Neodiprion lecontei: one gene and its partner. The protein of the gene in region 1 interacts with the protein of each later gene in a pairwise test. Links are inferred from orthologs where the notes say so. Each region holds a gene or a part of one and is shown on either strand. Other genes may lie near its edges. The genes, in order: vacuolar protein sorting-associated protein 51 homolog and exocyst complex component 7.

Region 1 (17,822 bases):
TAAAATATCAAATGTGCAATGTATAGTGGTTCCTAATTTTCGAACTCTAGTAAATTCTAAATGATTCTAATCTCTGAATTAACTTACCGATTTAACTTTTCCCGTCTCAATACATTCAACACAATGCTTGTAACATTTAGACTAAGAACAGCGAATGGAAATGTATTTGATTTGGTTCTCGATAATTCATAGAGCGTATCCCTGATAATTGGATATGTTGTGCACATGTACAGTAATTGCAATACTCCTAGCATTCCTACGCCACGTAAATCAGTCCATGGCAAATCACTCTATGACAAATTAGTTTAATTAATATGCTAGTCTTGCGACGCCTGTAATATTCCAGAACGAACAAATCGCGTCAGAAGTCCGACGATCGACGTAGTTTACCTGGAAACCAATATTTTCCCAAATGAATTCCGAGTCTCTGCTTGATACTAAAGAATTGTACACTGTTCTCAGCATTGCAATATGAATTTTGTTTTCCTTCTGGTAAGGACCTGAAAAATTAGTAAAATTTCGATTTTACAATTATCAACGACCTTGTAGACAGAATTGATATTAGGAATTAGAAATTCTGCTGTTTCGACTATTGTTCTACTTGGCAATGACTTGATTCCCCTTAGAGAAATTAGACAGCTGGTATGAAGAACCATTTTATGGAAAATTCACTGCAAAGGACATGGACTATAAGCATCCTGCAAGTAGCGTCTGTACGGAGCATCCTTTGGGTATTCTGTGTAGATGCGGAGAATATGGGAGTATAGTAGATAAATTTCAAAGCTACACGGTAGGCACGCTGTTGCCGGTATTACCTAAATTAGATATCGGTGAGCCGAACTACGAATAAACTATTCTTGGGTCGTCATAATTTTATATTACACAGCTGGTATCAAAATTTTCACAAAGTGCGATCGTGCTTAGAACCCGTAGCTTCAGGAAGCGTTATATGGATTCCAAGAAAGACTGAAAAGTTTCGCGAAAACAACGAACCTGTAGTATATTACTGCAGAGCAGTTGGACCAGAAACAACCGACAAAAGGGATGTTGAAAAGCGATGGATTCCAGTCAGACCTGACGTCGTTTCACCCAAGTCAGTGAAAAAATGATTCAAGAGTCATGACGTAGAGAGTATCGATATAAAATCGCTATGCAATTTAATTGGAATATTCAAAGTACCGTAACTCTAATATCACAGATACATCAGGCCTAACGAATGTCATCTTCATCAATCACACCTGAACTCCCAAAGCGCCGTTACAACTACACTAACATGTATGCTTCCTCACCGAGGCAGAGTTGTGAAACGCAAAGACATTCGATGGGATGTTGGGTCGCACAAAACCTCTGTGGAAATGACTGACGAGTTGGAAACACACTGGGGCAGACCAGCCTGCTGTTCTACGCAGTGGGCTGAGGCATTTACAGCCTCGACAGGATGCCCACCGTATTGACTCGGAACCAGTATATTTTTGTAGCCAAAATTATGATGTGTGATTGTTATTATATTTGAAAATCTTACGATAAGTTTTTTTCGATCGAGTACTTACACTTTGCAATGAGAAATATCAAGTTAAAATCACTGATGTGATCTTGTTTCAGTTTGGATTTTCCACGGTTTGAAAAACACGAAAATATCCCTGATTTCTTAGCGCTCGTCACATTTTCCTAAAAAAAGATACTTTCTTCATACTCTGGTACATCTAGTTGCAGGAAGTTGAGCGTGAATCGTGATAATGAACTGTGCGTAAATATACTACATTGTACTCCGATAAGTCAGTCTCTTTGAAATATTCAAGGGCCTGATTGTAGGAAATTATTTCTTCCTTATCTGTACTTGTATGTGGAATTGTTTCCAAACTATCCCAATTGGTTTCTGTTGTATTGAGGGTTGCACTGTCAACATATCAAAAAAAAAAATTAATGGTTTTGTGCCTTGGTGAATAAAATTCTCACTCAAGTACTTGACAACTCACTCAGCATCTGCTTCGTAGCAAGGATCTCTGTTTTTATCAAATACATGAACTGCTCCTGCATAGTTATTCCTATATTCCTCGAAAAGATACATACTTACATGGAACTGATAATGGAAATAATAAAACTACAAGAAGGAGTAGATTGAAGTTTTGGCTGAAAAGTTTCATGGAAGAGATATTGATCTTACAGAAAGCAGGGTAACCAATCAATATATAGGCATGTAGTTTCTTCCTTATTCATTACACACACAATTCTAGTCTTCGAATAATACTTTCAAAAGTAAATGTTCAAATTGTGCGGTAATTTATACACATCAAAATATTATTGTAAAAATATTTCTGATTTATTGCCAGGATGGGTACATTATAAACTTTTCTGACTCATTTATCGTACTTGCAAAAATCAAAAATGAGAAACTAAATCTTTGGACTAAGAATAATTTTCAAGCTGAATAGTGGTAGCCTTAGATTGCTTTTGGTAAAATTTTGGCAGGATGTCTAGCGGCAGGGAAATAAAAGACTTCCTGAAAATGCCAGACTTTTCACTTACCCATTAGTTTTTCCGGGAATGAAAGTATCTCTTTAACTGCTTGTACAAATAGATTATATAATGTAGATATACGAGTTGAACTTGTATGATACACTACTGACACATATTATCCTCCCGATATTGTCAAGGGGCAAGCAAGTAATTATATTAAATGAAGGCAATGTTTTGAAATTGTTTTCTAGAAAATTTTTCATTTTCCCTGAGCACCAGGAATCCTATTTGATTGTAACATTCAGCCCGTTGTGTATTTTATAAATCGTGAGCTATAATTAAAGTGACGTATAGAACAATATTTATTACTATACTTTTTACAAATTACATAGTATACCCATTTTTGCTCCAAAACTGGTATAGATATCTTTATACATTTACTCCGGGTATTTTTCATATGTCTAAAGATCTTTGAAAAGCGTGTCCAAAAGTACCGAAGTAGTAAGATAAAAAAAATGTGTCAACTGACACGATCGAATGATCGAGGCTATGAATAAGATAGAAATATTTACATTTGGATGTAGCGAATTTACCTGTAATCCGAATAGTCCTTCGAAGAGCTCGTATAATCAGTAAGCATATATTATAAAAAAAAGAAAGGAAATATATCCTTTATCTAAATAATATTCAGAGGATGCAGAGAAGTTGAAGGATAAAACGTCAAACCTAAAAATCACGCGGTTCAAATTCTTCACTTTCCTTTTCTACTTACAAAAATACTTTAAGCTACCAATCAGCTTTGCACAAATATTAACATGATCTATCAATATTACAAAAGTAAAGTTGATTTAGTTTTTGATATTAAACGACAGTGTAACAAACCGTTTGCCACCGGTTCGTATTTTTTTTTTTGCGTATTTCGCAATTGCATAATTCCATCAACATTAAACTTACTAAAACTAATTATTTACAATCGAGCAATAATTGAAATTTTGTATTTAATTAGTATCGCATCGTTCATTATACAAACGGTTTGATATTATCAGACAATTATACAACTTACAACTAGATAATTTATAACTCAAGAAAGTTTTTGCTAGCAAAATTTTATCACTTTCTGTAGCACAAGTGTCCGTTTTTCAACAATCAGATAAATCTTATAGATTATCAATGACCATATTAACGATAGATAATTTCAACTGAGCCCTAGCCTTTTTTGGTAGCCTTTGCATTTTAGGTGCAAATTTGCGGAGGAAAAATCCAATCTCGCTCTTTATAGGAAGAATAGTTTTCCTAGCGAGCGAAGATAACTTTCTACGTTGCCTGACTCTTGGTTTCTGAACGTACCCAGTGTCTGTAGTCTCCTCAACCTCATAGTAGTAATCATCCTTAAGGTCGGTTTGTTCGAATTTAAACGTCTGTTCTTCGGTGGTTTCTGCACTGGGTGAAAGGACAATTTCCTCCTGTACTCCGAGTTCTTCATAGTCGACCGTTTCCTCGCGCTCCGGTGAGAAGGTCAATAAATCCGCCAGGGTATGCTCAACCGATTCATCCGCTTCCTTACCAGACTGATTTTGATCATTCTTAACGCTCAACGGAGTGCACTGAACTAATTGGATATTGTTCAGTGTAGTAATGGTTGACGATTTCTGTTTCTTGCTATTCCCCTTGCGAACCCCCTTGCGACGCCCAGATGGGCTTGGCTTTTTGTTTTGATCCGGTAGGTTTATCTTGATCAATAAGCCGGGAGGCATGCTCGACAAGCTATGAACGGGAATGGGAGTACCCAGATTAGTTATGTCGCCTGTAAATGGAAGAATCATTTTTTTGCATTCGTTTACAGATGTTGCTATGTTGTTAGCTATCGTAATCGGTTGCATAGTTCCGGCCTGAATGAGTTTCCAATTATTGTTCGGCGGCAGCGGTAGTTTTCTAATCATCCTGTTTTCTATATTATTAGGATCTGGTCTGGGGATGTTTATCTGAGTGGGCCTCTTCGATTTACCACGTTTCTTGGCAAGCGGAGCAGGTTTGTTGTCTATTTTAGGCTTCTTGCTGGATACCATGGGCCTGATTTTAGACTGCTTCTTGGTGCCCTTGGCAGAGCCAGCACATTCTTCCTCTTCCGCTTCTTCAAAGTCATCTTCAACATTAACAGCTGTATTTGGTTCATGGATATCTCGGATCGTCGGCACCGCATCGCAAGGTCCGACTCGATGGAAGCTCTGCCCACTCTGAAAGTGCTTTGAGCATAAGACTAGCTTCCTGATTTGGTTTGGAGACATTTTGAGTAAATCCTCTCTACCCAGGAATTGGCACCACCTCAAACATCGCCCGATCTCATAAGCTGGAAACGGGTGAAACTTATACCTATCGATTTTATTTCTCGGATCAGACCTTGATCTTCCACAGGCGGCGCAAGCCTGACTCTCCAACACGGCTTGTGGAAGGGCTTCCAGCTTCCGAGTCCTGTCCGGATGATGGAAAAGCTTTGACTCGGGAGCGAGGTCTATCAGGAACGGCTCAGAGTCCTCGGCTTCGTCGGGATATCTGATGTTGGGAACGGCATGGTCGACCAACCGATTACGGTATCCCTTGAGGAACTGGGAGCGGTCAAAGTGCTTGGAGCAAATGTAGCAGAACAATATCTCCTTGCGGGTGAGCCTGTAATAAGAATCAACCCCAACAAAATCCAGCCATTTTAGACACCTGAATTCCTCGCCGGGAAAGTGGTGGAAAGTGACCCCGTCATAAGTAGAACTGGGGGGGTCTCGACGGGATCTACCGCACAGAACACAGGTGATATTGTAGAGGGACTGTTTCGGGTCGTATATCGATGGTATGGCGGTGCAGTTGAGACGGTCGAAATACGAGTTGAGGAAGTCTCTCTGTTCGAAGTGTTTCGAGCATACCATTCGTTGGAGCAGCTGTTTTTTCGTCAGCTTGTAGAGGTCCTCGCGACAGCAGAATTCCAACCACTTTTTGCACCTGGTCTCGTCGTTTACCGGGAAACCGAAGAACATGTACTCCTCCTGCCTGTTGTTCGGATTCATCCGCGATCTGCCGCAAACTACACACGGGTGCGGCATCGTAGGGGAAATTTTAAACTTCCAACGTCCGTTTACTTCACTCCCGGAGGATCAGCTCGCGCACTGTATCATTCGAAACTCACTCGGATTGACTGAAACGCTATGAAACTGTCATTATTAATACTGAATCGTACCACTTTTCGACAGCGTAATCGCATCGAGGAGGTTATAAAGTCGTCATAATAATAAAGCGTCGTACGACGCCCAGCGAGAAATTAGCGAACTCGATATAATCACGCAACATCGAGTGGCTTTATACACATGGAGATAACATTCGAGTACGCGCATGCGCGACTTGATAAGGGCTATTCTGATACACTCTGTCACTCTCGCTCTGCGCCGTGATTGGCCGAGAGCGCTGCTTCAGCCAATCACGACTAGGTGCAAAAGAGAACCGCTGTTATCTTTGGCTAGTCACGCATGCGCAAATGGAACAGAGGCTCGGATTTGAGTCCGACGAATCGAGACATCGGAGCAACGGAAACGTGTAATGGAAACGCGGGGACGCAGCTGTCACAACACGAAATATCTGTGGAGATTTTGACACTTCGGTGTATCAAAGTGAATGTTCTTTCACGTTTAGAAAAATGACAGAAAATACGAGCAATCCGTACAACATAAACGGGCAGCATTTCAACCCCGACATGTATCTGGAAAAAATGCTCAAGGTTAGGCGGCTCTAACTTATTCTCATAACCTAAAATTCAATCAAAATCGTAGTGAAAAATATCGGTTTTATTAGCCACGATTATTCTACCTACTTCGAGGTTTCGCAATCTAAAAAATTTTGTCTTTTATACCAAATGCAGGAGTGCACACTGAAACAGATCATGGACAATGAAGCTGAAATAATTCGCGATACCCAGACGCTTCATTCTGACATGCAGACTTTGGTATATGAAAATTACAACAAATTCATTTCTGCTACCGATACCATAAGAAAGGTGAGTGTTTTCAAAACATGTGAGAACTGGCAAAATTCTTATCGACATATTGATTTCAGATGAAGAATGATTTCAAGAAAATGGAGGATAGCATGGAATCGCTGTCCAGCAACATGGACAGTATCACGTCATTTTCGGAACAGATATCTTCAACTTTGCAAGGCACAAGGCAACAGATAACGAGACTATCGTCCGTGCACACTCTTCTCAAGAAGCTACAATTTCTATTTAAGCTGCCAGCTAAATTGAAAGATAAGATGAACAATGGAAACTACTCCCAGGTGAGTAAGGAAGAAAAGGAGGAATAAGGAAAACGGATACACGATTTACTCTTTGTGCAGTGAAATTCAACCAAGTTTGTATAATTTTTCAGGCTGTCCAAGACTACATTCATGCTCAACGTGTCCTGAACCAGTATGGAAACATGCCTTCTTTTCAAGGTATACAGAAGGACTGTGAAGAAATAGTCGAGGAGCTCAAAGTTAAACTGAGAACTCAGTTCCAGAGCAGAGATGCGACCACAAAGTCTCTGGCTGAGAGTGTCGATCTTTTGCTCCAGCTCAAAGAGCCACCCGAATCATTGTGCGCGGAATTCTTAAGTAATGCCGAAAATAGGCTGACCGAACAGTTGAAACAACTCAAGGACATGTGCGAAAATGACGTTATAGAATTCGTGGATATGGGAAGTTCGGGTTTTATGAGCGACCTTTGCCTCATTGTCGCTTCCTATAAAGACATGTTTGTCAACAGAATACCCCTGGACGACACAGAGTTCAGTGACGACTTTGACTCTAAAGCCATTGCGAAATTAGACACTTTTGTTCTGAATAACATGAAGAACTACTTTGATCTCATTGGTAAAAGAATTGAGGATGTTGGGGATACTGCAATCTTAGTTCGCGCGCTAGACAGGTTTTACAGACGCTTACACGCAGTCAATACTCTCTGCAATGAGACCGATTTTTCCACGTATGTTAAAAAATTTATTAGATTTTCTATAGACATTGATTAAAAATCGATTTCCGATTTATATTGACGCCTGATGTGTAGGACTGCAACAGAAATTGTCATAAATGCTGGAAGAAAGCAGTGCAGAAGCCATTTACACTCTTTGAAGCAGCATCTGACTGAGGCTTTGGCTAAAGTAAGGCAAACGCTGGCTGCTAAAGTTAGTCAAGATGGTGACACAGGTCTTGCAGAGTTACAGGCCTCTCTGGTCATGCCTACGATAGAAAAAGTGAAAGGAGTCCTGCAGGATTTATTGGTATGTATGTTTTGTTCACAATAAAACGTATTTGTACTCTTTCGCCTATTCGACCAAAATTTTCATGACCGAATTAATGTTACTTGCAGGTATTCCTGCAGCCTGAATTAATGTTCAGTGGAAAATCTCATTTCCTCCAATGCTTTTGCGTTGACGAAGTTAGAGAGGGATTAGTGATTGGATTTTTACATCATCTAACTGCCACAGCTAGCGGATTCTGTTCCGGATCTGACGTGCCTAAATTTCCCCCCACATTACTATTATTGCTGAGCAAAATGTGCATCGAATTTAAAGAATCTAGCGTACATTATCTGGCAAGTTTTGGAACCAAATATTTCGAATAAGTAAAGAATACTGATTGTAAAAAAAAGATAATAAGTTCAGGATCTATTATAATGTATTTTTCAATTACAGTTAACCACAACAGACGATCTCTTCAACATTCAAAGGCATGCATCTTTGGCAAATTTTGTAACGTCAGAAAGTGAAATCTGTAACAACTTTCAAACAGCAGCTCAAAATTTACTAAATCATTACGTGCGACTTCAGGGATTATCTGTTTCACAAATGTTGAGAAAGTCAGTGGAGACACGAGATTGGCTACATACCATTGAACCCAGAACTGTCAGGGCTGTGATGAAGAGAGTAGTCGAGGACGTGACGGCAATCGAGCTGCAAGTTTCCGCCTTGTATGATGATTCAGACGGCCAAATTGATAGGAGCAGCGATAGTAGCAGAAGGACGCATAGGTACGGTACTGAGTCTAGAAAAGTAAACACAAGAGGTTAGAGAATTCATAATAAAATTAGTAGGTGCAATTGTTACGAAATCATTAACTATTAATGCTTATTTCAGCGTCAGTGTATCAAGGCATCAATATCGATCAAATTGGTCCTCCTACACGCCAAGTCATCTAGATTCATCTCTGGTGACAAATATTCACAAATTGTTTTCAGAACGTATAGAGATATTCTCTTCGGTTCAGTTCAACAAAGCTTCGATTCTGACTGGAATTATAAAGATCAGCTTAAAGGTATCTAAGCATTCTCAGTAAGACACTGAGTCTTTTCAACCACGATAAACCACTTTTCAATCCCTCTCAATCTCTATCCAATCTGTCCCGCTAATTGAGAGAAAAAATTTTCCTAAAAATAATCACAGCTCCAATCTTACATTGTGACGTAATGCGTGAAGATATACCGGAGTATGATATAACTTCTAGTAGATATGGTACATACATTAATGGTTGCAGCTTGTGCAGAATGAGCACAATGACAAAATAACTTAGCTATTATCCACTTTGCGTTGTCGAGGTATTACGGTAGCTTCTCTGTGCATATAAAAAAAAAAAAAAAAAACTATGCAATCCATGGTGTAATAAGCATTACTCTAATAACAAGACCGCAGTGATCAAATTCATGTATTCTACGCTTTGAGGAGTGCATCTCTCTATTGTACCTCTCCACATTTTCGTCGGTCTGATTGTCAGAAAAACCAAATATTTTATTGATCGTTTCGTATTGATTTCAGACATTTTTGGAATGCGTCAGATTGCGCACGTTCAGCAAGTACGGCCTACAACAAATACAAGTAGATACCCACTATCTCCAGCTTTACTTGTGGCGGTTCGTTTCCGACGAAAAGTGAGTTCAAATATTTATTATTTGATAACCGCAATAAGTCTGGCTAAAGTACAACAGTTTTCTGATTTCCAATTTGTGTGGAATTAAAAGAGGAAAAAAGTAAATACCGATGTAAGGAGCACGTTGAAAGCCCGGAATTCTTAATCCAACTATAAATTTGTTCAATCATCTCCACCCGGTTTTTCATCAGATAATTCTCTGACGAAATTTTATTCTTTTTTCACAGCCTTGTACATTTTCTTCTTGATGAAATATTAGGAAGCGCGGTTCACAGATGTTTGGAGCCTGTGTTAATGGAGCCCAGTGTCGTAGACATTATTTGCGAACGGGGTTGAAGGACTTCCTAATTCCGATAACAATATACCTACGTGTAGTTATACTGTTATTTATATGTAGCGCATACAAAGTGAGAAGTTATACAATTATTAATTTATACAGAGCAATTATAACATTACATATGCAAATAACTACAGTGTATACATTATCGTGGACACTGATTACGCTAATGTTTGTAAAGTCGGTGAAATTATATTACAGATATGTACATATAATAAAAAAAATCATTTGAAATACAAAAAATATGCCTCTTCTTGTAATACAAGTACTGAGGTTATTTGGCGCTTGATATTATTGGAAGAAAGAAAAAAAAAAAAGGTGCCGAATAGAAAGGAGAAGGGCGGGGGGCACGAGTTCGAAATAACGACGGAGGTATGCGGCAAGAAGAAGTTAAGACCGATTAAGATCATTTAACCCCTGGACAGCAACTCTTTGGTAATGGGTTTACATTATAGCCGCGGGTTTGTAAGAGGCAGCAAGAGGAAAAAGAGCGCTGCTCGACCGCATCCAGTGACACCATGACATCTGAATTACATTTGTTCACGTTTGACACCACCATACAAGTACGTACGTTATGCACGCGTGTAGGTGGGTGGCCAGGAATTGCTGAATGGGTACTTATACTCGCTGAATGCTCCCGATCTCCCTCGGTCATCCATTTCGTGCATACGTACACATATATACCCATACACGTAGGCGTATGTTATAGTTGCAGGCGGTAGATATAAAGAAAGCAACTCTCTTAATCCCTTGATAAACTGACATTGGACCATTTTCGGTGTATGTGTAACTTATAGGCAACCATCGATATCAGACGATAAAAAAACTCGACGCAAGTTCGTCAGTTCTGATTTTGCCATATCGTTTAAATAGGTACGATGCAAATAAGTACAAAAAGAAATTCGTTATCAATGAATATTTATACACCTACATTATATATACTCTCTTCGAGTAGCACATAAATTTTCTACCCCCAGACGTATGATCGCAATCACGATGCGGACGGTAAGTTGCATACGATGATCGTGTTTGTATGTACGTACTCGAACACGTATTGAACATACGCCGTTGTGTTCATATAAATTCAGGTTGGGTAGGTAGACGTTAAATTGGTCAAAATGCGGTGTGTGGGTCTGCGCCGGATACCCGGGGAATGAATCTCATCCACGGGGAGGAAGTCCAAATTAACGCCACTCAGCTCGTCGCACTGCAACGCACACATGCGACCTAACACGCGTATACGTATACGCATTGAAACACGCCCGACTTGCATACAGGGTGTAAAGAAAAAGTCGGCTTTTCTCGCGTACGTCGATCGCCTTCTCGTGCCTGTAACGTATAACTGCATAGAAGGGTGATGAGCTAGCCAACAATAATTGGTCACGCGAAGAAATTACGACGATCCAATATCCTGAAATCCTGCATAAGATGGCGAAAAAATGCGCGAGAAGTTGGTGAAAAATTTCAGGCATAAACGGGAGTGTCGGAGATGTACGCGATATTTCATCATTGGGTATTACGTCGCATAGCGCATCATTGAGAGCACACGAACGGCACACGTGACCTCAAAAAACACCTGTGCATCTGGGTCTCGTGTGTACATTAGGGAGAATGAATTCCCCGATGGCAAGCAAACGTCCACTCGACCTTAGACTACTGCCACGTTAAAAAGACAATCCAAGTGTATTTGAGAAGAAGTCGCAGAAATTGTTATCTGATTTCAATATCATAATTACTGTACAACATCCGCATTCTATTCGACACTTTATACTGATTTGTTCTCTTCGACAGAGTTACGATACGCAGGTGAGTCTTGCCGCTGAGTTCTGTTACAATAAACCAGGTTTGTGAAATATTTTTATACACTTTATGGGTTGTTGTTTTTTTTTTCTCTCTCTCTTTTGTTCTTGGTAACCATCATTTGCGAAAGCTCGTACGGATCTAACCGAGTTAAATTGTTTGACATTGGAAATGTTTGATATGGAAATACGTCGAAGAATGTTAAATCCCCTTTTGCCGTAGGGGTTCGTCATGCACCAAGGATATAATATCTGTACGAATTTGATAACGTGGCGAATATGGTGAGAAGAATTTCTACAGCAAATAAACGCCCACTAACAACCGTGTGTCGTATGCATGATACAATCAGCGGGCCTACACGTTATATATTATTAACCATGTCTGTTCGTGTGTTATTATACAAGCAATATATGTATATATAGTTATACATATACCTGTATATATATGTATATATGTATATATATGTATATATATATATATACATGTACCTACTCGCAGGTATAGTATAGATATGTCTAGATCCGTGAGAATCAAAGATTTGTTCAACAAATCTGAATGGAAATAACTATTTGTTACGCGCAAAGTTGGTATAAATTTGAAGTGAAAAATAGATAAACGGGTAAGAGCGGTGAGGATGATCTGCAGCGGAAACCGCTATTCATCGTCACGATTCGAAAAGCGATGTATCCAAACGAATAGAAACAACAGAGAGGGTATAATATCGTAACTCGACAACGCCGCTTTTAAAAAGGATATTCATATTAACGATCGTCGTCATCCGAAGCGTTAGTGGCGTCGTTGGAACGGCCCCGTGCTGCCAGAGGGTCGTAAGTACACGGGTAAGTTTAAATCAGCTTACAGTCAACCCGCATGGGAAGAGAAGAAAGTCACGGGGGTTACACCGTTGCGCCGGAGTTGTTGGGCGACCCTGTCGTGCGGCGGTAAAAAAGCCCTCGGCGCTACTTCCAGGCCATTTCCATCATGCAACAGTGTAAGTGGCACTGCACCGACCGACGCCTCGCGATGAAAAGGAAGCATAGGGGCGCGTATCGTCGGTATACGTGACGAAGGAATCTGCATTACGGGAGGATTAATCACCCGACCCACGACTCGTGTGTTAAACATTTCGTTCCCAGTTTCATATCCTATGTTCAGGGGTCCTTGCTTGAACCAAGAAGCCGACAATGGCCCTTCCAGCGAACACAGAGTATCCGTTGTTTGCCAATTTATTTGTCCCTGGATACAGCCTGCATGATTCATCGTTGTCGCATTCAGCCCGCGGTATCTTCTGTACACACTGATCGTATTATTTTTCTCGATAATTAACGTGTGCCGTTGGAAAAATTTAACTAAACACAATGTCCCAGCAGGTCTAGTTCTGCAAGCGAATATTATGAGATTAATTTTTGTAATATTAATACTTGAATCATCGAGTAAATATTTAATTTGCAAATTGTACTTTTAAAATGGTTAATTTAACCCGAAAATTTAAGTCGACCTGCTGCGACATTCTTTTTCTAAACGTTAATACGTACGAACTATTACAAGATCTACAATTGTTGTATTCGTCGTACGTGGTGAAATTGATTTTATAGAACACGAGCATACGACTCGTATTGCAAACTTACGCTCGGCCCTAAAATACCGAGTTTGTCTCCTTGTTACACAATATACTATTATACATGGGATTCCCTATGTCCAGCATAATCGAATGGAAGAAAATCATGTAATTGGAGGCGTTTCGCTTTGTGACCGCAATAATGGGCAGTTTTGAATCCGTGCTCGTTGTTGTGTTCGCAGCTCGGACCGTCTTAACCACTATATCGACGCTAGAGATACGAATTCCAAACACATACCACACCGCGTTTTATACATCAGATTTCGGAGAATAGGTACCTACCGAAACCATCGTCGTTCATTTAGCGCATTGTAATAAACAGTTGCCAGTACCGCGTTAGGTGGCGAACTATGCAACCCCCGCGGTCAGAGGGTCAACGGTCAGTGGTCAGTGGTCAGTTTCGATGACTAACGTCTGCTGGACTGACATAGAAAATACACAGCAGACGCGGGGCAAACGTAGTTGGGTGATTAGTTTTCCTTAAGCATATATACGCACGTACGCTGTGCAAGCGGGCGTAATCTACTTATGCTTGCAATACTCCAAATGCTCCAAACTTTTCCAAACTTTACACAGAGTGTACGTATGTATCTGTGCCGTTCACACTGGATGCATGCTATATAAATTCGGACGTATTTCCATCGAGCCCGCTCACAAGTAGTCAAGGAGGGACCGAGGCTTAAACTCCTGCGGAAGATCGGAACCTTCAAATATTCGTCAACTCCTCCGAGTGCATCCGCGTGCTAAGTAGTAGTGCCGTAGGTGACTTGAGCTTGAATTTCACCTGGGTACGATTACTTTCCACGCTGTTGCGCCCGAACTGCAACGGATTTGGAATACAGCGTATAATAATACAAGTACAGTAGGTATAATGTGGTTTTTATAATCGAGGGGGAAAAAGTGGAAGAAAAGTGCGAAGAGCATTTTTTTTTTTTTTTAACACCCGTATATAGTGAAAATCTACGGATAACGATGGTTAGATGTTATAGTGCGATCCTCGGTTCGTACTTTATCCGCATTTAGAAGAGTTCGACTCATAGCCGAGATATTCGATTGGTCCAGGGATCTTCAACTGCGAGAAAGTTCTTCGTTCTTTAAAGCTAGTTCAGCACGCCTCATAAATCTTAGTTAATGTTCAAGCATATTATGCCTTCTCTCGATTTTACGATATAAAAAAATATTCTCAAGTCTTTTTCCGCGGTATTATAATCGAAAGATTTTTAGCTTGATCGGTGTTACATGTAGGTACATAAACTTTGAATGAATCGCGTCACGCGATTTGAAAGATTGTGGCAAGTGACGTTACTTTGGTCCAATTCCTTCTCAAGTATAAACATGCAATAAGCAGGTAACTTGTCTTCCAATATTCTTTCTCTCCGTCTCACCGAGAAAAAAAAAAAGGAAAGAAAAGAACGAAAAGAAATTTCTCCGACTATTGTTACAAGTACGAAGGATTGGAAAAATGTGCCGCAGCTCAACCGACCACCCCGTTACATGTTCTTCGTTATACGAACACGTACAAGCATACGAGGTACAAGTTATAGCCACAATACAAGTGAGGTTCATTCAGCACGGGTCACCGACATGCAGTGATTTCAATTGATAAATTGATTTGGTGAGAGAGGAAGGAGGAAGGAGAGACGAAGAGGAGTGCGATTCGCGAAGTATAAAAGAAATTTGTAAAATGAGGGGGAATGAAAAAAAATTTAGCGAAAACTGCGAGGGTTGGGACGAGGAAGGGGGGGATGGGTTAAGAACTAAGAGGCGACGAAGCACGAGGAGAAGAACAGGGAAAAGAAGAAGAACAAACTTGGTGATTATTAGGGAGTTGTACGTCGGCTGAATGCCTAATGCACGGTCGTCCTAGGATTAAATTGACCAATCATTTCCCGCACGGTAAGGGAGCGACCAATTACTCTGACCGCCGTACTATATTAAGCCAATCAAGGCTCGTTTATCACTCAGTCGAGCATCTTCTCTCGCGTTACGCGCATCTCTCTCCCCCCTCCTTTTACCCTCGCATACACAGACACGCGTACACCTACGGTTCATTACTCATACAGAAAACACCCACCCGGACAGAGGCAGCTTGCGAGGAACGCGATTCGCCGCAGTCTTTAGTAAGCCGAGAACGCGCGAGAAAGTCCGGGATTCTCGATGAAATATATACCTACCTACGTGACGTTAAATTTTTCGTAATCATATTGTTCCTAGGACGGTGGAACGAGTTTTTGAAAGTAGAGAAAATATTGGGGAAAAAATTCGCGTACAACATAACTACGGATTTTACGCGGCGTTGTATTGCTCGATGTTCGAGAATCGGTTCCGCAACGTGGTTTCGACCAATCGCCCTACAGGTAGAAATGATAATTGGCCGATCGACCAGCCGTCGATTCATTCAAAATCAACCGCTCCCTCCCTCCCTCCCGCCCCCCCGCCCTCCACGTCACCCGTGAGCCCGGCAGGATCAAAAGTTCACGTTCAGATTTCAGTATAACTTTAATTGCCGCAGTGAGTATAGTGTATAACAGTGTCGTGGATCGAGGTAAGACAACCAATCGTTTATTAGTTTCAATTCAAACGTTACGCACTACATAAGCTCTACAATTTGAACAACTGTATAATAATCGGATCCAACAAGTGTTTCCTTCGTTATCATCAATGAAAATTTTATCATCGGCGATATTCGTCGCTGGGTAAAGTTGTGCCCATATTTTACTACATTTTCTTTTTTCATCCAAACGCGTTTGAATATTGGACTTCGATTAACGCCATGACAAATTATCGAGTTATTATTTTTTTTTTTTTTTGTACATACGTATATCTTTACCTGTAAGACGGTATATTTTGTGTACGGAATGATCAGCGTGTCCGTATAATTAATTATCATCATAAACCTATAAATCGTTTTAGCATTATGTAGAATACTGTACATGTTACGTAATTTAAAATCCACACAGCGTACGTGCGAAGCACAATTCCGATCGCATGTTATACATATTGGAAGGTGAAAGAAAAGAAAAGGAAAGCAAAGAAATAATATCACTGTAAATCATTGCATGACGTTGCGGATGGAAGGTGCACGGTAAGATATACATAACCAGCTTTGTTTCAGCGCATACACATATATTTATACGTATATGTATACAACGACGAAGACGACGACGATGTCGAAGGCGACGATGTTACACATATGCATACTAAACTGTAGCCAATTTAATTTAACGCGACTGAAACGTCATGTGGAGAATTATTTATTTCCAGATAAGGCGTGTTTTCATTTTTCTTTAGAGACAATAATATTCATTTTACCCCACCTTTAATACTGCTGGACAATTCTGATTTATTGTGCATTTATTACACTTTTTCAATATACTAACCAGATAAACAGTTGAAAATCTATTTCGTTTATTGTATACTGTACAGAGAAAAAGAGAGAGAGAGAGGGAGATGAGAAGAAGGCAGGGAAAATATACTGAAAAATAATTGTCATGCCTCAGCTCTGAAAATAGCGGTTTTCTCTTGGCGGAGAGGAGTTCCGAAGAAGGAGAGGAGCTTCCTTATCTTGTACTGACTTCTTAACCTCTCGCCTGTGATAATATGGAAATAACGCCACCAACAGAGAAGCAGCGAACCGTGATTATAATATACCGTCAGCTTCTTCTCTTCGTTGCCGTACTTCGACAATTTCGCCGATACGTCCACGCGTATAATAATAATAATAATAATAATGATAACAACAAGAATAATAATACCACAGGGATAATGTAAATTTATGACATACGTGCATTGTGCGCTATTATGCGTATTACATAGGCATGCCGACGCATTGCACGGGGTGGACAAAAGAGACTAGCCAGCTAGCTGCTACCTATAAGACGTATTGAAATAGGCGCGTTGCCCCTTTTCTCTTCTTTCAAATTTAACCCTTTGAGTCACACATTATTGTGTGGAGTCAACGTTTATAACAAGATGGTATTCCACGGTATTTCGGCTCGCTGATTACGAATCTGAAATCATATTTTGACAATTCGAGGCAGTGGATGCATTACGGTGGAAGGAAATTTCAAATTTGATCGAATACAGTCAAAAAACTCTATGCAGGAAGTTTCGGGTTCGAAATCCGATTTCAGATTCGTAATCAGCGAGCCCCAAAACTTAAAACTTATGTAAAACATGTGTATGCGTAGAGGGTCAACTTTCTCGAAAATGAATTATTCCTTCAATTTCCACGATTTTTTTAAATCAATTTGATTCAAACAATAATAATTTACATTATATCGCAATAATTATTCTCGAGTATTGAAAACCTGGTACACTATCAGAAATAGGAAAAACCGCTGAGAAATATGCTGAAAAGTTCTCTAAATATGAAAAAAAAAACAAAAAAAAAACAGTAAAAATGCATATAAAATAGGTGGTAAGGATACTTACCACTATGACTCAAAGGGTTGAACCTACACAGAGGAATCGTCGCATCGGGTGGCTACATGATTCAAACGATTGCAGAGTCAACGTTCCGTAACGTAATGAGGCGATCTAAACGATGCAGCATTGTGCTATTTGTAACGATAATAGGCAGTACGTACCTTATATGCAGCCAAAGCGGATTAGTATCACATATCGCGGGAAAATCCACGTATATTCCGACGCGAGTTAACGTTCCGTATA
Region 2 (16,366 bases), about 16 Mb from region 1:
AATAATAAATTAAGGTTGAATCCAAGGATTTACGAAAAAATTCCCATTTCTCATGTAATATCAGTAAAGAACTCTTTAAAGCACTCAGATTAAGGCTAATTGGATACATGATAAGAGAACTTACTTGAAAATTTCACAATTACTATATTGAAAGAACCCCTTTGCAACAGAGAAAAAGAGCTTGGTGCCTAAAGCTAAAATCAACAAGGCTTCCATCAAGCCAAGTTTGAGAGAGACCTGAAAAAGTTTTTTGTAAGACTGTAAGAGTTGACTTGAAAAACGTTTCATGTATGGATAATATGAAACTTAGATATAACCACCTCAGATGAATTAAAAACTACATACCATATCATCTGGACCTTCACAGCTATGTCTGTAAGGCATTCCTTCTGGAACGATTTTGTTGAGCATCATTTCCATGTCATCTCTCACGTCTGGATCCCAACTTTCGTTCAATGCCAAACTGGCGGACGTATGAAGAACTAGAACACAGAATTAAGTAAAATATCATATTGCAATCGAACTGCCAAATATGATAGGCTTAAAAGATAAGCCTTGAACTTGTTGAGCAAAAATTTCTTCATTGATAAACAGTTGTGAAAAATGAGTATACTCTGTCCTAACGAGTAGGTAGGCAACACAAAAGCTGTTATCCTGTTTATTGCATATACTGAGCTTCATGGGCAAAAGGTAGAAAGAACTAAATACCCATAAAGTTTACATCCAAACGAGTGAAGTCCGATGGTATTTACTCTAACTCTGAGGCGAGAATATCAAATTTGCTTGTTCATGCATCTAATTTGAATGCAAAGTTGCCTTTATAAGAGACAAGATACCTACTTTGTATATGGCACAGGCCTACAGAAAATTGACAAAGCTCTGGAATCTGTCGTAATATTTCTTCAGTGACCAAGTGGACTCCTCGATGTTGTGGTCTGAGGTTGATTTTTTTTTGAAACCAGGCAGAGCCAATTTGTATACCCCTGTTCGATGAAGCCATATTCGTAGCACAGCTGATCGCAGCAACTCAAATTTCGTGAAAGCGTACCCCACCACAACACAGTAAATAAAATACTAAATCACGATAGTACATTGGCGGTAATCATCTCCGTTAGTCTGACTAAAACGAACGATTTCATCTCCTTTTCTTCCCTTTTAATGGATAACGGAATCAACGAATACAGGTATTCAACGTTTCGTACTTTCGATGCTGTGGTTACGACGACGAGAATACGAGCCACATTTCGATTTATTTTTCCTTCATCTACAGTATGCACGACTGTGTCTCAACTCGTGAGGTTACGACAGGTTAGAAAAGATAACGATTAACTTGACATGCACCACGGTGAAAGGATTGCATGGTGTGCCTGAAGCACCTGGAATATAGCTATCCCTTTTAAAACTATCCTCTCTCGCGCACCACAATCCTAGGGTGCGTTCCGAAATTACATTGAAGCGCTAAAAACTCCCTAGGACAGAGGCAAATCTACCCACGAACATGGCAGCGCAAAAGAGATAAAAGATTGTTGACAGATTGGAGAGCTAATATCATGTAACATCCGATCGACATGCTCATGTAGCTTAGATTCAAGGAGCCCAAACGCTGTACTGTAGATGTGGACCCTGAAAGCAACAAAAAAGATATATCGGCTGTGGTGGCGCTGCTGTCGTTAGTATAGGACAAGGTCCGTAGATTGGACAGTTCAAGACACGCGTGGGCAAAAAAATTAGTGAGAATGCGCCAAAAGTTTCGTATGACAATGGATGCTTACCATTTATACCCATATTCATAGTCTCTCCTTATCTCAAGGATGAAGGAGGCCTTGATGAAGGCTTCCTTGAATCTCCGAGGCGTCCTTGTTTTATAGTCGCAACTTAGCTCTCCCTTCCAGAAAGAAGACATATTTAGGGATATGTGATTGCTTATGGTGGTAAAATTGCTGATCGAAGCGCCACTCGGCTATATTTAAATCTAACTTAAACCGCTTGGCTCTCATTGTCAAGTTGCATCGGTTGATGAGAGTGTATAACCTCAAAGAGGTAGACTGGCTGTGATCTCTGCGTCATACGGGTCATAAGTGCATAGACGCAAGCATTGGCTACATGAAACGATACAGCCAATCGCAGTGCCGAAGGTTTCCTTAAGGCAACTCGAGACCTGCCTTGAAAGAAGGAGGCCAATAAGGCTCTTTGTTCTGTCGAGGAAAGTCTATGAAACGTGAAATGAGGAACAAGGTGTAACATCCGACCGGAACGTCCGTATGTTTTATCGACTATTATTACTGCATGTCACTTTTATCAACTAACCAAACTCGAAGTACGAAAATCTTATAACCGTAAGGTGTTAAAACAACTGTCTAACTATTTGGAATATCCCTAGATGGAAACAACTATGACATTCACTAACCAAAGCTTCAAAACCATAGGTTTGTTCGTGCTAGATACACTTTCTACACTTTCGTGGGGAGTGTACACTTGCGCGTTCGTTTTAGCGGACGTGACGTCGAATGACGCTGCTCGTTTCACAAATGTCTCTAGACTTTCGTTACCCAGATAACAATCGTGCGTCGCACGTAACCCGCACGCCGTGATAGTCACATAGTGCGAGCGTAATGCGTGACACATGACTCGCACGCCGTGATCTCATCGCGTATAGAGTGATAAACACATGGCATGCACGTAACGTTTGACGTTTCACTTCGAGATGCGCCGCATGGCATGAGCATTTTTAGATAGCATTAAATTTTTCAAGGCATTATAGCATTTTATAATTTCACTGAACATTTATTTCAATTTTTTTTCATGGGAAAAAGTTGCATATTAAACATTATGATTTTATTATAATTTTTCATTTGAAAAAGTTTCCATTAACCGTTGAATTTATTTTTGTAATCTGAAAAATTTTTATTAATCATTGAGTTAATTTATTTGTTCACTGGAAAAAATTCTCATTACAAAATGAAATTTTATGGTCAATGTATTAATTTTTGAAGTTATACTTCTTTAGGCGCGTTATGAAAAACTGATGAGAGTGAAATTTCAGGATGCGCGCGCATCACTGTAACACAAAACTGTAACACAAAATTAACAGGATGAAGTTGCCCACTCAACCGAATTCATTAAATCTCGAAAAAAAGCTAAATATTTATCCACATGGTTTTAGTTTTTACAGTCACAACACGTGTTTTATTTTCATACAAGTGCGAATTATATATGTGGCAATAAAATATATTCAGTAGTGATTTAAATTGAATATTTGGATTAATATTATTTACTATTTGTGAATATTAGTGAAAAAATTGTGCTAAAATACTTTTTCAAGTGCTCCAATATAATTGAGGTTAGTTATCCGTATGTATTATTTATTGATATAAATTAAAATATCATTATTTAATATAATTAATACTAAATATTATTAAATTATCAATGTTGAATATTTATTATTGGTTTTTTAAAATTTACAAAATAAAGAAATAAATTTAATAGAACATTTAATAAAAAGTTCGTGACAAAAATTTAATAGATTATTTAAATATAATGTAAGACATCCGTTATTTGTTTTATTGTTTTTTTTACATACTTCTTTTCTTTATCATTGTGTGACAGAAGATTTTGACATGTTGTGTATTTTTTAATGATGACAAAGAAGTATAACTTCTCACGCGCGTACATAAGTACACGCACCCATTTTTTTTTATTAATCATTTTACAACTCTAATCCATTATGTATGTGACTTGTCGGTTTTAAAATCCGCGGCAGTAGCCTACCTCTATATAATATATAAAGTTATCATATGTGACCACATGCAACCACATATGCCGCCAAGTTGCCGCCATCACTGCATACAACGTGCACGTGTATATTCAGTTTTTTCAATTTTCATTCGTGCTTAAGCAGTGCATATTATATACACTTTGTGTACACTTTTTTTTCAATTTTTCAATTTTCATTCGTGCTTAAGCAGTGCATATTATATACACTTTGTGTACACTTTTTGCACTATGTCTAGACCAAGTGTAAGAAGTGTAAAAAGTGTAAATGGTTCAAGCCGCATGAATGCTACAGGTTTTTCCACTACGTTAGTGAACTGTGATGCGATATATACCTTAAAACTCACGAGTGACAGCAAACCCATAACCTCACTACAAATCAGAACAAAGTAGTACAGTATTTTACTTGAAAAACGACGTTCAATTTGATAACGGTGTACTTAAAACATAAGGTATGAAAGATTTCGTTAACAAATTCCAAAATGCTTTATCTTATATACTAATTTGTTGTATTAATAAGTGTTTCGAGGAAAAAAACGACTGTACGTAACGTGCGCCATTTTCTTGTCCCCACTTTTCTGCACCTTCTACACTATTGCGTTCGCGCTATCTTAGCTACACTCGAGAAGCCGACGTACACTCCCCAGCAATCCCTAGTACACTACCCTAGTTCGTTTTACACTCACGAGTGCAGAGTGTAGCTAGCCGAACAAACCTCATATTACGAGACCTTCGCACTACAAAGAGCTATAATATTATTATACGTTATTATATACCACTATCATATTAACACCATAATTAACTAACACCATTATATCCAATTATTATATAACACTCGACAATGCCATTTGTGCATTCTGAGCTGAGAGCTACACTAGGGGTTTTCCAACTATCGCACTCTGTGTCGTTCTGTGTCGTTCCGTGTAAATTGTATACTGGGCTGTTGTTGGAACGCTGTAGTGTTCAAATTGAACGGGAGAGTGCGTGCATGTTCCAAGAACGGAGTGGGAAAATAACTAGGCATTTGACAGATATGTATCCTCCGAGTTTGAGTACTAAAACGCATGTTATAAATTGTACATAATATTGATAAAAGTAACAAACGTTCGTTCAAATTATTTTTTTAAATTAAAGAGTGTGATCATTGTACGGTACGACCGGCTTTATTACTTTCTACATTTATGCAATCATGCAGACTAATGCTGACAACGTTAAAATTCTCTTTTTTCCAGTTTCTTTTTGGTTACAGAACTACAGCGTTGGCAACGCTGATATTCATTGCACGGTTAAACACAACTTTTTTGAGACTCGGATAAGAGCGACTCCGTGAGACATCGTGTAGTAGTTGGAACACCCGACGGCGTACACTGTGTCGCACTGTGTCGCTCTGTGTCGTAGTTGGAAAACCACTACTATAAGCAACTTACGCTATACCATATAGCCTGGAGTATAAAAGACTGTAAAACCATAGATACGTTTTTAACCGAAATAATGTAAAGATAGGTGTACTGCTGCAATAATCCATAAAACCAGAAACTGCAAAACCATCAAAATCGTGAATACCAATTATCCAGCATGAATCATACTTTCCTCCGTGACGCCGTATAGTAGGCAACACGCGCAGCGTTTTGAAGGCAATGCAGATCTCCAATACGGAGCCATACATAGCTCCATCTAGAGAACACATTCGGAAACTTAACGACGAAACGATTGAAGGTAAATCAACTCGCAATAAACTCAAAGATGCATACGTGGCAACGCCCAGTAATAGGCAACCAACAAACATAAGAACAAGTTCTAGTAGCTTCGAAGCCGATTTATATTGTTACAAAGGGTGAAATCACCCGTTTTGCCCCCTTTTAATGATCTAGTAGTCATCATAGATAAAAGACGTTTATCAACCTCTTATGTCTTTCAAAAGAATAAGGTTGCTGCGTCAACCAACATTATTGTAAAAATAGTCTCGTTTCAGACTTAAAACCAGAAACACGTACCCTGCAATTGAAGCTTTTTCACAACAATTATTTACGCCTTTGATTTTCATTTGATAATCAAATCACGAATCCATATTTATTTTCATAACGTCCAGGAACGTTACAATATCAATATGAGAATTAGTAATTACAGAAGAGAATTATATGCGAAAGCACACATGTAAACCTGCTCTAAAACTACGAATTATCAAATTTTCAAATACCCTAAAACTGTTAAGATAGTTATAACACAAACACCCAAGAGTATTCGCAGCAGCGTGATCCTAATAATGTTAAGCAAATAGCAACTATGTCTCATAAACAATCGCTTTTTTACTCCAGGTGAATAACGACAGTGATCAATTAAAATACATATGCAATTTTACATATTTACACGCTATAAAACTAACAAAACGACAAGTAACCGATATGGCAATCTTAATATATAGACTTTGTAACGAACAGGATAGTGAGAATATCTAAGAAGTAAACTACGACTAGAATCCAGTGGATCGTGACCCCGAAAATGCACACGGCACTAACGTACACCACGAAACATGGGTCACCTCTAGCGCATACGCACTGCGATTACCATATTATGAAATAGCTGCTAAAATCGGCCCGGGTCCTACCGCCCACAGGGGAGATGAAGCACGGTAGCCGAGAAGCCAAGGGGGGCTTGCTGCCCCAACACCAAAGCCCACGCAGAATGGAAAATTAAAGCGTAACGACCCTACACTTACACCACCGCACCAACGCAGCGTTATACCATATGTAAAAGCTTGCAATATAGTAAGAGCTAAAGAACTAAGATCACAGGCATACATGCGGGGAAGATATCGTGCCCTAATTCTAATTCCTAGAAAAAGGGGGAAGGTGCGCAAAAGTTGACAAAAGCTAAAGAAGGGGATCGTTCTGCGCAACGATCGACACCTATAAAAACGGCGACCGATCATCTGATCGTCCTCTTGGTTTCTACCACCAGATTCGTCATCTTGTTCCGGTACAGTCTCGCGGTAAAATCCTTTTGCCTTTTGCATTTAAACTTTTCCTACAACGTTACTCTGCCCGAACATCCAGCGAGCTTTCAGCTCCATTTTGTCGTATTAATTTAAGATCTTACACTAAGTAACCCCGTTGTTTGTGACTCGAAATATTAAACTTATAAAATAAATCCAAGTTAATCAAAGTATCTAAATATATTAAAATCAGTCATTCCGTTAAATCCTCTCACCAATCTACGCTGCAAGTCATCATATCCAGATTATTCTCGAAAGGTAAGCGAATTAATTAAATCTTTCATCCAACAATTAGTCCTTTCTCAGTTCGTTCAATTAGAGCGACAGAATGCCCGTTGTCTGGTGTATTTCAATACTTTATCGGTAATTGGTGACCCGAACTACTGATGTAAGTCTAGCTGTAGCGGTGGGAACGATTCCAGTGTCTCACATCTGGATATTTCCACCAGGTACCGTTCCGACGTCACAGAGAAGTCGATAGCGGAATAGAAAGAGAAAGTTGCATATACGACCACTCTGTCTTCGCATAGTCGCGCATGCGCGGACCCCGTCATACTGCGAGGTCAACTTCTACGAGGTCAAAGCCAAAGAATACGCATGCAGAACAATAAGCTAACGAATTTTAAAGGACAATAATTTTTTTAAATATTTGCAAATTATTTATAAGTATTTGATAATCAAAGTCAAATGAGCCAAAAAGGATATTCGTGCAAGATATGCTTATAAATTTCTTGTAAAATAATATTTCTATATATTACGAAAATATAATATTTTTTTCACGTATTGTTCCAAGTATAATAATATTCAATGTTTTATTACAGTATATGACTATACAGTACGTACTTGTGTGCATTATTCATGCTTGTTACCTAATAAAAATGATGATCAGCATTTTACGATTCAATATTCAATTATTTAATTGTAATGTTTTATTAGTATTATTCCTATTTTCAAATTATAACTTCTCATTTATGTTTCATGTACAATATATAAGAACATCCATCCCTCCAGTCATTTTCTATTTCATTCTTACTTAAAGAACGCTGAGCGCGCATGCGCGATTAGACAAGGATAGAGGGGTCCCACATGCAGCTTTCTCTTTCTACTGCGCTCTCGCATTCACAAACGGGCCACCTCCGTTACTCCCGCGGTCTATTTATATGCCTATGTACCATATCCATAATGATATTCGACACCGCATTGTCTGGGAACACGCGGTGAGCGGTAGTACCATCAGTCCTTGTTGCCTCTACATGGGTGCTTTCCATTTACTGACTCAAGTCGACTTGTGTCGCTAATTTTGGTGTATTCCTTTGTCCAGATTGGCCGGTTACACCAGAAATAGCGACACAACTCGATTTGAGTCAGTAAATGGAAAGCACCCCATACCGACCACTTGCCGGATTGAGTTGCGCGTGCAAGAAAGGATGCAGAGAGCGCCGCTTGATAAAGAATTTACTCGTCAATTTTCGATTACGCAAAGTCCCATATGGCTATCAATCTTTATAGGAATATCTTCAGTCAACGCAGCGGAGTTCAACATTCCAAAATCGTAAGTGGTCATGATTATTCATATCCTTTTAGGGATTAATCCCAGTTATTTGAAATAAGTGATTAACCTGAGATACTTAGTGCAGTTTAATGTTTAATCGGTATTTGGCGAACCAAAACCACCAACTATACGTCTACCTATATTTTCGATAACGAACTCCACTGGCTAACTTCTGAAATTTGCGGGAACTACCGCTCTGACGTCATGTCGAACAGTGTCAAGTGTTGGCAAATCCCACTGAAATAGAGATATACCCCTACTTCAGTGGCAAACTGGTGGCAACTGGCACGTCCTCTCCGGAAGAATAATCAAACGGAAAAATAAGGAGTGTCAAGTGTACGCGACGAACACTTTGGGTTCCAAATTTTTTATTGTCCACCAGCGTCCACGGAAGATTGTCAATTGGGTTTGTGACAACTAGTTATTCTTTACATTTCAAATCATGCTCGACACGTCGGAACACAGGTTTGAAATCGAATGCAAATTAGAAGCCGAGGCTACTGGCTTGGCTGCATTGAAGGCGGAGATTGATCACAGTAAACGTGTTACTGGCGGTATTGTTGGAATTTTGTCATCCTTGGAGCAGCGCCTTGCTACGCTCCAACGTACCATTTTACCAGTCTATACGGAGACTGGAAATCTTCAACATCAACAGCATGGTAAATCTTACAAAACAATTTTACGCGCAAAGAGTAATATATTAGCTTAGGGATTCTTTTTACTGTAAGTGCTCGGCGGTGAGTTCTTTGATTCAACAAAATCCCAACTACAATGTACCTGAAGTTCAGATCAATCACCCTCGCTCGAAAAATGAAATAATTGCAAATATCACGTTTCCGATGATAATTTCTTAGGATTAGATAGAAATTTGTTATTACCTGCTTGACAGAACGAAACTGTAAACTTACTGTTAATTATTGGATTTAGCATTTGTTCGTCATAAAGTTCACGTCGAGCAAGTTTGATTGATTGATACTGCTTAAACTACAAAGCTTCTAACTCTTTCTTCTATATTCCGTTTCACTGCATTTTTCCGTCTTTTAATCTGTCTTGTACCAGCAGTTACGATTGATCAAACTTGATCGAAGTGTTTATAGGTCACAATCATATATCAATGATACTCCTAGCCATAATTTTAACACATCATACTTTCAAATAGTTATCCAGGTAACATTTACGGTTTAAAAACATTCATCATCGAATCCCAGAAAGTGGCAACACTGGTTTTCAATCGAACTTAATTGATTGGAATTCCAGGCACATAATCAATTCGAATCATTTTTCAATTAATTCAAATGGAGGCTTAGTATAATATGTCCAACCTTAAGGATTAACGAAACCATGATACATGAAGTAAATGATCAGTGAAGTGAAAAATAATGTTTGAAAGTATCCAGCAATGTCATTGGTGTGATTGACGATGAATACGACCAATAACACAACGAAGCTAAGAATCAACTTTGCTGATAGTGAAGATGATTCTGAACAAATTCGAATAATACAAGCTAAGATATTAAACCAAGAAAAAGTTTGACAATTAATACATTCAAAATGCTTGAACCATCGTAGGTTCGATCTGATTCCAATGTTATTGGGCCATTTTGCTTGCTCATCTGATCCTGAGAAATTTCTAAAAATTTTAAAATAACCACGTTACAGTAAAGCTGTAATGCACAAGTCTTATGTGCACAAATATCTGTTATAACATTTGTACACAAATATATTTTTGTAGGAACGAATCCAATGGTATAACATATAAGATAGTTGGATTCTAAAAGCAAGTAATAAGAGTTGATAAATATGCCAATTTTTTTTTCTTCATACACACATTCCGACGCTTTATTATGTAAGAAGTATAAATACTATACTAATTGCTCATAAAAATAAAGCTTTAAGGTACTTTTCAATCAAGAAATAATTTCTTTTATGTATTTTTGACATCACATTTGGACTGTGCGACAAAAACTATATGAAAATGTCATGGTCGCTCTTTCAAATCTGAAATTTTTTATTTTTGATTCTGGGGCTGTGTTACCAAGTATAAAGAAATTTGACAACTTGGTTCCCCCATATCTCTGGCAGCATTCGTACACGTAGGCTAGAAGTTTTTCCTGAGTATTAGGGTATGCTAAAGTATCATTCGACTCTTGTTTTAAAAAAATCCAAGCAGACCCCAAAGTAGGCAACTTTGGAGAGGCTCTTGGGCAGGCTTTACCGCCCCTCTAACACTATTACGTCATCTACCTGAAGAGTTGAGTGTACCCTTACCTTACGCCATCTCCACAGGTTTCCATGTTGAACAAAAGAAGCCCTAAACCATTAGAGGCACTTCGTACTCATCGTAAAACCTTTCCTTACGATGTTGATTTCTTGTATTATTCGAATTTGTCCTGATGCCATTGTATTCCATAGTAGAGATGTGGTCCCATTTGTGTGCACCATTATTGACGCAAATAGTGCTACTGTAGATTTTTTTTCCTAACTTTTGATTCATCTTTATGCTTTCATTCTTTCATTTACTTTTCCACAAAAAAGATTATTTTAGGAATCTTCGATTTCTTGTTTATTATCAAAAACTTTATAAACAAGAAAGTTTCTTAATGTTTGAGCGAAAAAGTGTAATAATAATGCTTTTAGAAATATAAATAATTTCTTACAAAATTCTCTTGTACCAATTTCGTTCACATGTTAAAATAATTTTAGCGTTGTCAAAATCCAAAATATGGCCTTTAGTAAACTGTGATGAGCTAGAGCGCATTTATCGGGATCACGTGATTCGATATTAGACTTGTGACCTGAGATTTCATTTTTTAGGTGTTGTGACGATTGCCCAATACATCTTTAAAAGCAATTATTGCAATCTATTTTGTATATGGTGTTGATTTGATCCACAATCAAAGTTTCTGATTTTAATTTAGAGAAAAGGCTCTTTGAGTCATTAGAGATTTTGTATGCGATGTTAATACCTTCTTGTGCAAAGAGTTTAAAAATTTTGTGTGTCAAATCTGGTACATAAGGAATGGACGTCATATTTTTGATGTTCATTGTAATTGGCTTCTTTTTCAGTGCTATTATAAAATTTATGTTTTCAAATCTTTTTTTGGTTTTAATTGAGGATAGAGTATAACCATTAGTTTGAACGAGGAGAGACCGCCAACTGTAACCCATTGATTTGCACGCGAATTCGCAGAATGAAAGAGTAAAATATAAATGGAGATGTGTTTTGGCTTATCCGTAAACTCTCGATCATTTCTGAGAAACTAACGGTTGAAGTTTTGATGCTGCTTCATGAGTTCGCTTGCACGTGCTGTCAACTGGAATAGTGTCTCAGTGGTTAGCATTACGGCTTTAAGTTTTTCCGCCTCGTGTTTGAGTCCTGACCAATTTTTTTTTTTTCATATCTTCGCCAAAGAATGTTTGACGAATGTTTCTTGTTTTATTGATAAATAAAAGGGCGCTATATTGGAATTCCAATTCATCATTCAAAAGCAATTGTCCGTTATTCCGAAATATACTGCAAGGTATTAGGTTGTAAAAATAATTGGAAATCACAAATGTATAATAGCCAGTAGCTTAATTATTGTGTTTATCGTTACAATATTACACCTCAAAAGCATCCGGTGCATTCCTCAGGGTGATACTGTCATAAAAACATTCAGAACATAAAAATTCTATACACCACGAGCAACGCTCGATGGCACTTTTACCTCAGTCAAATTTCTCAGTGTAAATGTTGTCTGGAAACGCAGTGTCATTGACGCTGCTAAAAATTTCGTGATCCGGTGTTAATTGTGCGGCAAACCATCCATACCGAATCATTTTCTTATATGGTGGCGCCTGCAATTGATTACGAATCAAAGCGTGTATTCTTATCGTGTCATATCTAGTTGTGATATCCCTTTGCTGTGCAGTAAGAAAAGAGCAGTTCTGCAGTCGAAGGATATAATTTTTAACTTTTCGGTAGCAGTATACGTTACAAGGTTGACATAGTGGAGTACACTTTAGAGGAATTACTTTCAACGACCATTTCGGAATAACAGACAATTGCTTCGGAATAATGAATTGTAATTTAAATATAGCACTCTCGTATTTATGAATAAAATAAGGAACATTTGTGAAGCATACTTAGAAGAAGAAATGAAATAAAAGAATTGGCCGGGACGTGAACACGAGGCGCAAAAACTCGAAGCCGTAATGCTAGCAAATTGCGCTACCGATCTGCTTGAGCACGATGCTATGCGGACGAACAGACTCATGAAGCAGCGTCAAATCTTTAATTGTTTCTTGGAAAAGGTCGAATGTTTACGAATAAGCTAAGATACGTGTTCGTTTACTTTTATTACTCTTTTATCCTGCAAAGTCTAGTACAAATTTGTGGTGTTACGGTTGGCCGCTTCTCCACATAAGTGTGCCATCTACTATTTTGAAATTCTTTATTCTAAAGAGAGGATCCGAAATTTAAATACACGGATCGTATGAACCTATAGCTACAGACGTTTTGTATAACATTGAATATCGAGAATTAAAATTTAGATATCACCGACAGCAAGTATTTTTTCTGTACTAATCTAGATTAACAATATTGCTTACGCTAATGACCATAGTGTTGAGGAAGCTGATTCTTCGATTTCACAAGTGAATTGTGTTCAAGAGTGGAAATTGTTGAATTTGTCTAGCAGGAATTATATCTACTCTCTATGTATACAAGTAATAATGTCATCCACGCATCTGTAATAAAAAGGAAGACTAAAAGGTAGTTGATCGATCACTTTTTGTTCAAGATATTCTAAAACAATATTGATGAGACTGGGGCAGATAAGCGAATCCATCGCTGAACCTAATATTTGACAGTAATGTTTGTCATTGTATATAAAATTGCTTGACTCTAAGAGATTGTACAAACTAAAAGAATTTTCAATTTTGTGGATATGGATCCAATCAACCGATGTCTAATTTTTCCTTTAATAAAATAAATGAATAATATCTTCTCGGTCTCGTCTCACGTGCGTTGTTGATTGCTGGCACTTTCCCTTAAATTCCGGGGACTCTCGGGTGGTGAGTTGGCGGAGAATTAAAATTTTGGGTCGTCAGGTGGTCGAATCGATTGGGATATGCCGAAGGTATACAGTCCACGTTCCCCTCCCTTCCTCCTTCTCAGGTTGTTATGGATGATCACCCAACTGGTCTATTTAACGTCCCCAGAGAGAAAGAGAGCGAGATCCCGTTGTCACCGAAGATCTTCCCCCTTTCACTGGCCGGGCGAGTACCGTGACCGTATCGGCAATTAACGCCACTGGGCGCCGCGTCACCTGTCTCCTCTCATATGACATTTTAGTGGTCTAATAAGGCCGCGAATATTCAAATTCCGTATCGCCACTTACAACTCCACCATAATTGCATGGTATGATGACATAAATTTTTTCTTAGATAGTAGCACTAATGACTACTAAAACCTCCCAGTTACAGACTTTTTTGAACGCTATTACTTTTATAGTAAAATATATGCTGAGAACGTGTCTGAAACACGTGTATTTTAAACGAAAAAATCCACCCTGTTGTTTGCACGGGTTAGAGTTGAGATAAAAATCTGAAAAAAGTACGCAATTGTTTTTTAATTATTTCAAATTGATTTGGGGGGTATGCTTAAAAAAATTCGTCAAGATCCTAAATATGGGACAAGTTACTATAAAACTGTCCATGAAGAGAAAAGATCGTCTCTGAATAAGAAATTGCCCTTTGATCTACATATAGGCAATATGTATAGGTTGTCGATACACTATATTTCCTCTAGTATATACCACGTCAACTAGTGGCTATTTAAATCAATGGCAGATAATAAAAATGATGAATCCACTGTCCGAGGTGCCTAGATTCATGATGTGTTATTTGTGTGCAACTACTATAACAAGGATTTTTAGGAAAAATTGCTACTCACAACAATGTAGCTGCCTTAAATTAGGCAAACTTCAACAAAGCTAAATATACCCATACTTTTCAGACTCAACTTCTCTAAAGTTATTGCGGTACATCAAATTAGCTCTTAAGTTAAATAAGCAATTAAAAATCCGAAACAAGCATCAGTTTTATAATCATAGAATAAAATGTAGCCGCAAGATAAAAGTAGGATTTTGAGTAATCATTCTCACTCATACATTCTATTTCAGACATAGAAAAAACTTTATCAATACTGGACCATGCTATTGGTTATTATGGGGTTTGCCAAGAGGTTGAATTGGCAATACGCAGTGGACCTGCCAGTTCCAGTGGTTTGGATGCCTTCCTTGATGCCATGAACCGGTTACATAATGCACAGCGATATTTCCAAAAAAATAATCCCAGTTCTGTTGAATTGGAGAACGTTTCGACGATGTTTACACTTGGTTCGGAATCCCTATATGCCGAGTTCAAAGATATTCTAGCACGGCAGAGCAAACCAGTGCTGCCCATCGCTTTACTCGATTTAATAACATCAGATGAAGATGCTAGTAGTGGTGAAGAAGCATACCAATCATTGTGCCAGTTACCAGAAGAGGTCCTTGACGATTTAATCAAAATAGCAAACTGGCTTGAAGAAAGAGGTTACAGAAAACACGGACAAATTTATGCATCTGTTAGATCGGCAATTGTTTTGAGGTCGCTTCAACTTCTCAAGGAACATCAAAGGAGCGCCAGCGGTGGGAGTATTCATGCCACTAGTCCCATGCCTGTAAGATCAGTCACCTACCACTTACACCGAGAGGTTCCCTTGCAAGGACCTGCTGGACAATTGCAACTTGTTTAGTTTTCATCGACATTGTAAAAATTTTACTAGCATGGTAGGCAGAACGATTACTGCTTAGTGGATCATGCTGGCGCTATGACTGGGTCATTCTTAATAAGTGAGAGGTTATGGTTGTAGTTTTACAGTAAGCAAGTTCAATCGCATGTGCAATGAGCAGGTTCTTCCAAGAAAACCTCTGGGTATGTGTAGGTAAAACTCCTTCAATTTTTCACTCCTGATTAAATATTTTTACTAATTTATTTATCTACGGGAATTCTATTTGCAATAAAACAGCATACATGAGAATCTCCATTTAACATTTCTCATGACTATGTAGAGCAACACAATACACACGACAATCTCCATTTCATACTTCACATTATTATAACTATATAGAAGCAAACTCTGAATGGTAATAAGAACATATTATGCTAATTAAAAATAGTAAAATCAGCCAAAATCCAGCAGTTTGTGCTTGCAAATAGTTTTAAAGGATGAAATGGTGCAGCCGAATAGTTCAAGCCATTCATAGTTTCTGTTTGACAACACACTAAGTTTCTCCATCACTGACCTACAGCTAAAGTCCCCAGGGTAAGTCGCAGCCCAGAACTGGTCGTAATTCCCACTGAAAAGTCTACGTGAAATGTAGAAGTTGAAGCTACCAATCAGTTCAACACAATCAAGATTTCAAAAAAACAAAATAGCATCGGTGTAACATGAGTAGGATTCAAGCATACAGATATTGACTGCCCTAGTTATCTCCTCATAATGATGGTTAATAAGGATCGTAGGTCTCCCCAGTCTATAGGCTAGGTGCCTCAACAACTTACGGTGTACCTGCTCAAACAGAACATTATACTTGCCGAAATACAGTGTCCAGATATTCAACGCATAGGTGAACGTAAGACAAACTAGGGTTAGTTCACTTGAAATCCTTTGATTTCATTGCAACGAAGTAAAGCTTCTGTAGACCCTTATCCCTAACATTTTGCACGTCGGTGCCAAAATTAAGGCAACCATCACAACGTACCTCAAGATCTTTAACAACACTAACACAGGTCAATAATATGTCATTAAGTAAATAATCTACATTAACCCCGTCTAGCTTGGAAAAAGATATGACCGAGCACTTTTTAAGATTGAATCTAAGCGCATTATCCCGGGACCATCGAGAGATGCTGCTAATATCATTCTGGTGTTAGAAAGTATCGAATTGAGAATTGATAGTTTCATTAATTTTGAGGTTGTCAGTGAACAGTAAGAAATTAGAGTGATATATCTCATGGCCAAT

Evidence for each region.
Region 2: the proteins of vacuolar protein sorting-associated protein 51 homolog (region 1) and exocyst complex component 7 interact in a two-hybrid assay, tested with the Drosophila melanogaster proteins (2 studies listed by BioGRID). The link is inferred for Neodiprion lecontei from reciprocal best matches to the Drosophila melanogaster genes Vps51 and Exo70.

What each region holds. Positions count from the first base shown.
Region 1 is NC_060262.1:411,199-429,020, reverse strand, and holds vacuolar protein sorting-associated protein 51 homolog, read left to right. Parts: upstream 1-6,004; 5' UTR 6,005-6,133; coding exon 6,134-6,214; intron 6,215-6,355; coding exon 6,356-6,490; intron 6,491-6,549; coding exon 6,550-6,771; intron 6,772-6,863; coding exon 6,864-7,459; intron 7,460-7,540; coding exon 7,541-7,754; intron 7,755-7,843; coding exon 7,844-8,068; intron 8,069-8,168; coding exon 8,169-8,503; exon of another isoform or gene 8,504-8,517; intron 8,518-8,609; coding exon 8,610-8,787; intron 8,788-9,284; coding exon 9,285-9,397; intron 9,398-9,623; coding exon 9,624-9,732; 3' UTR 9,733-9,951; downstream 9,952-17,822. Other genes in the region: uncharacterized protein LOC107220091, read right to left, coding at 3,615-5,546. UniProt on the Drosophila melanogaster protein: May act as a component of the GARP complex that is involved in retrograde transport from early and late endosomes to the trans-Golgi network (TGN).
Region 2 is NC_060262.1:16,398,026-16,414,391, forward strand, and holds the start of exocyst complex component 7, read left to right. Parts: upstream 1-8,589; 5' UTR 8,590-8,757; coding exon 8,758-8,974; intron 8,975-14,479; coding exon 14,480-15,021; intron 15,022-16,366. Other genes in the region: UPF0047 protein YjbQ, read right to left, coding at 346-482, 841-1,000. UniProt on the Drosophila melanogaster protein: Required for exocytosis. Thought to function in intracellular vesicle targeting and docking before SNARE complex formation.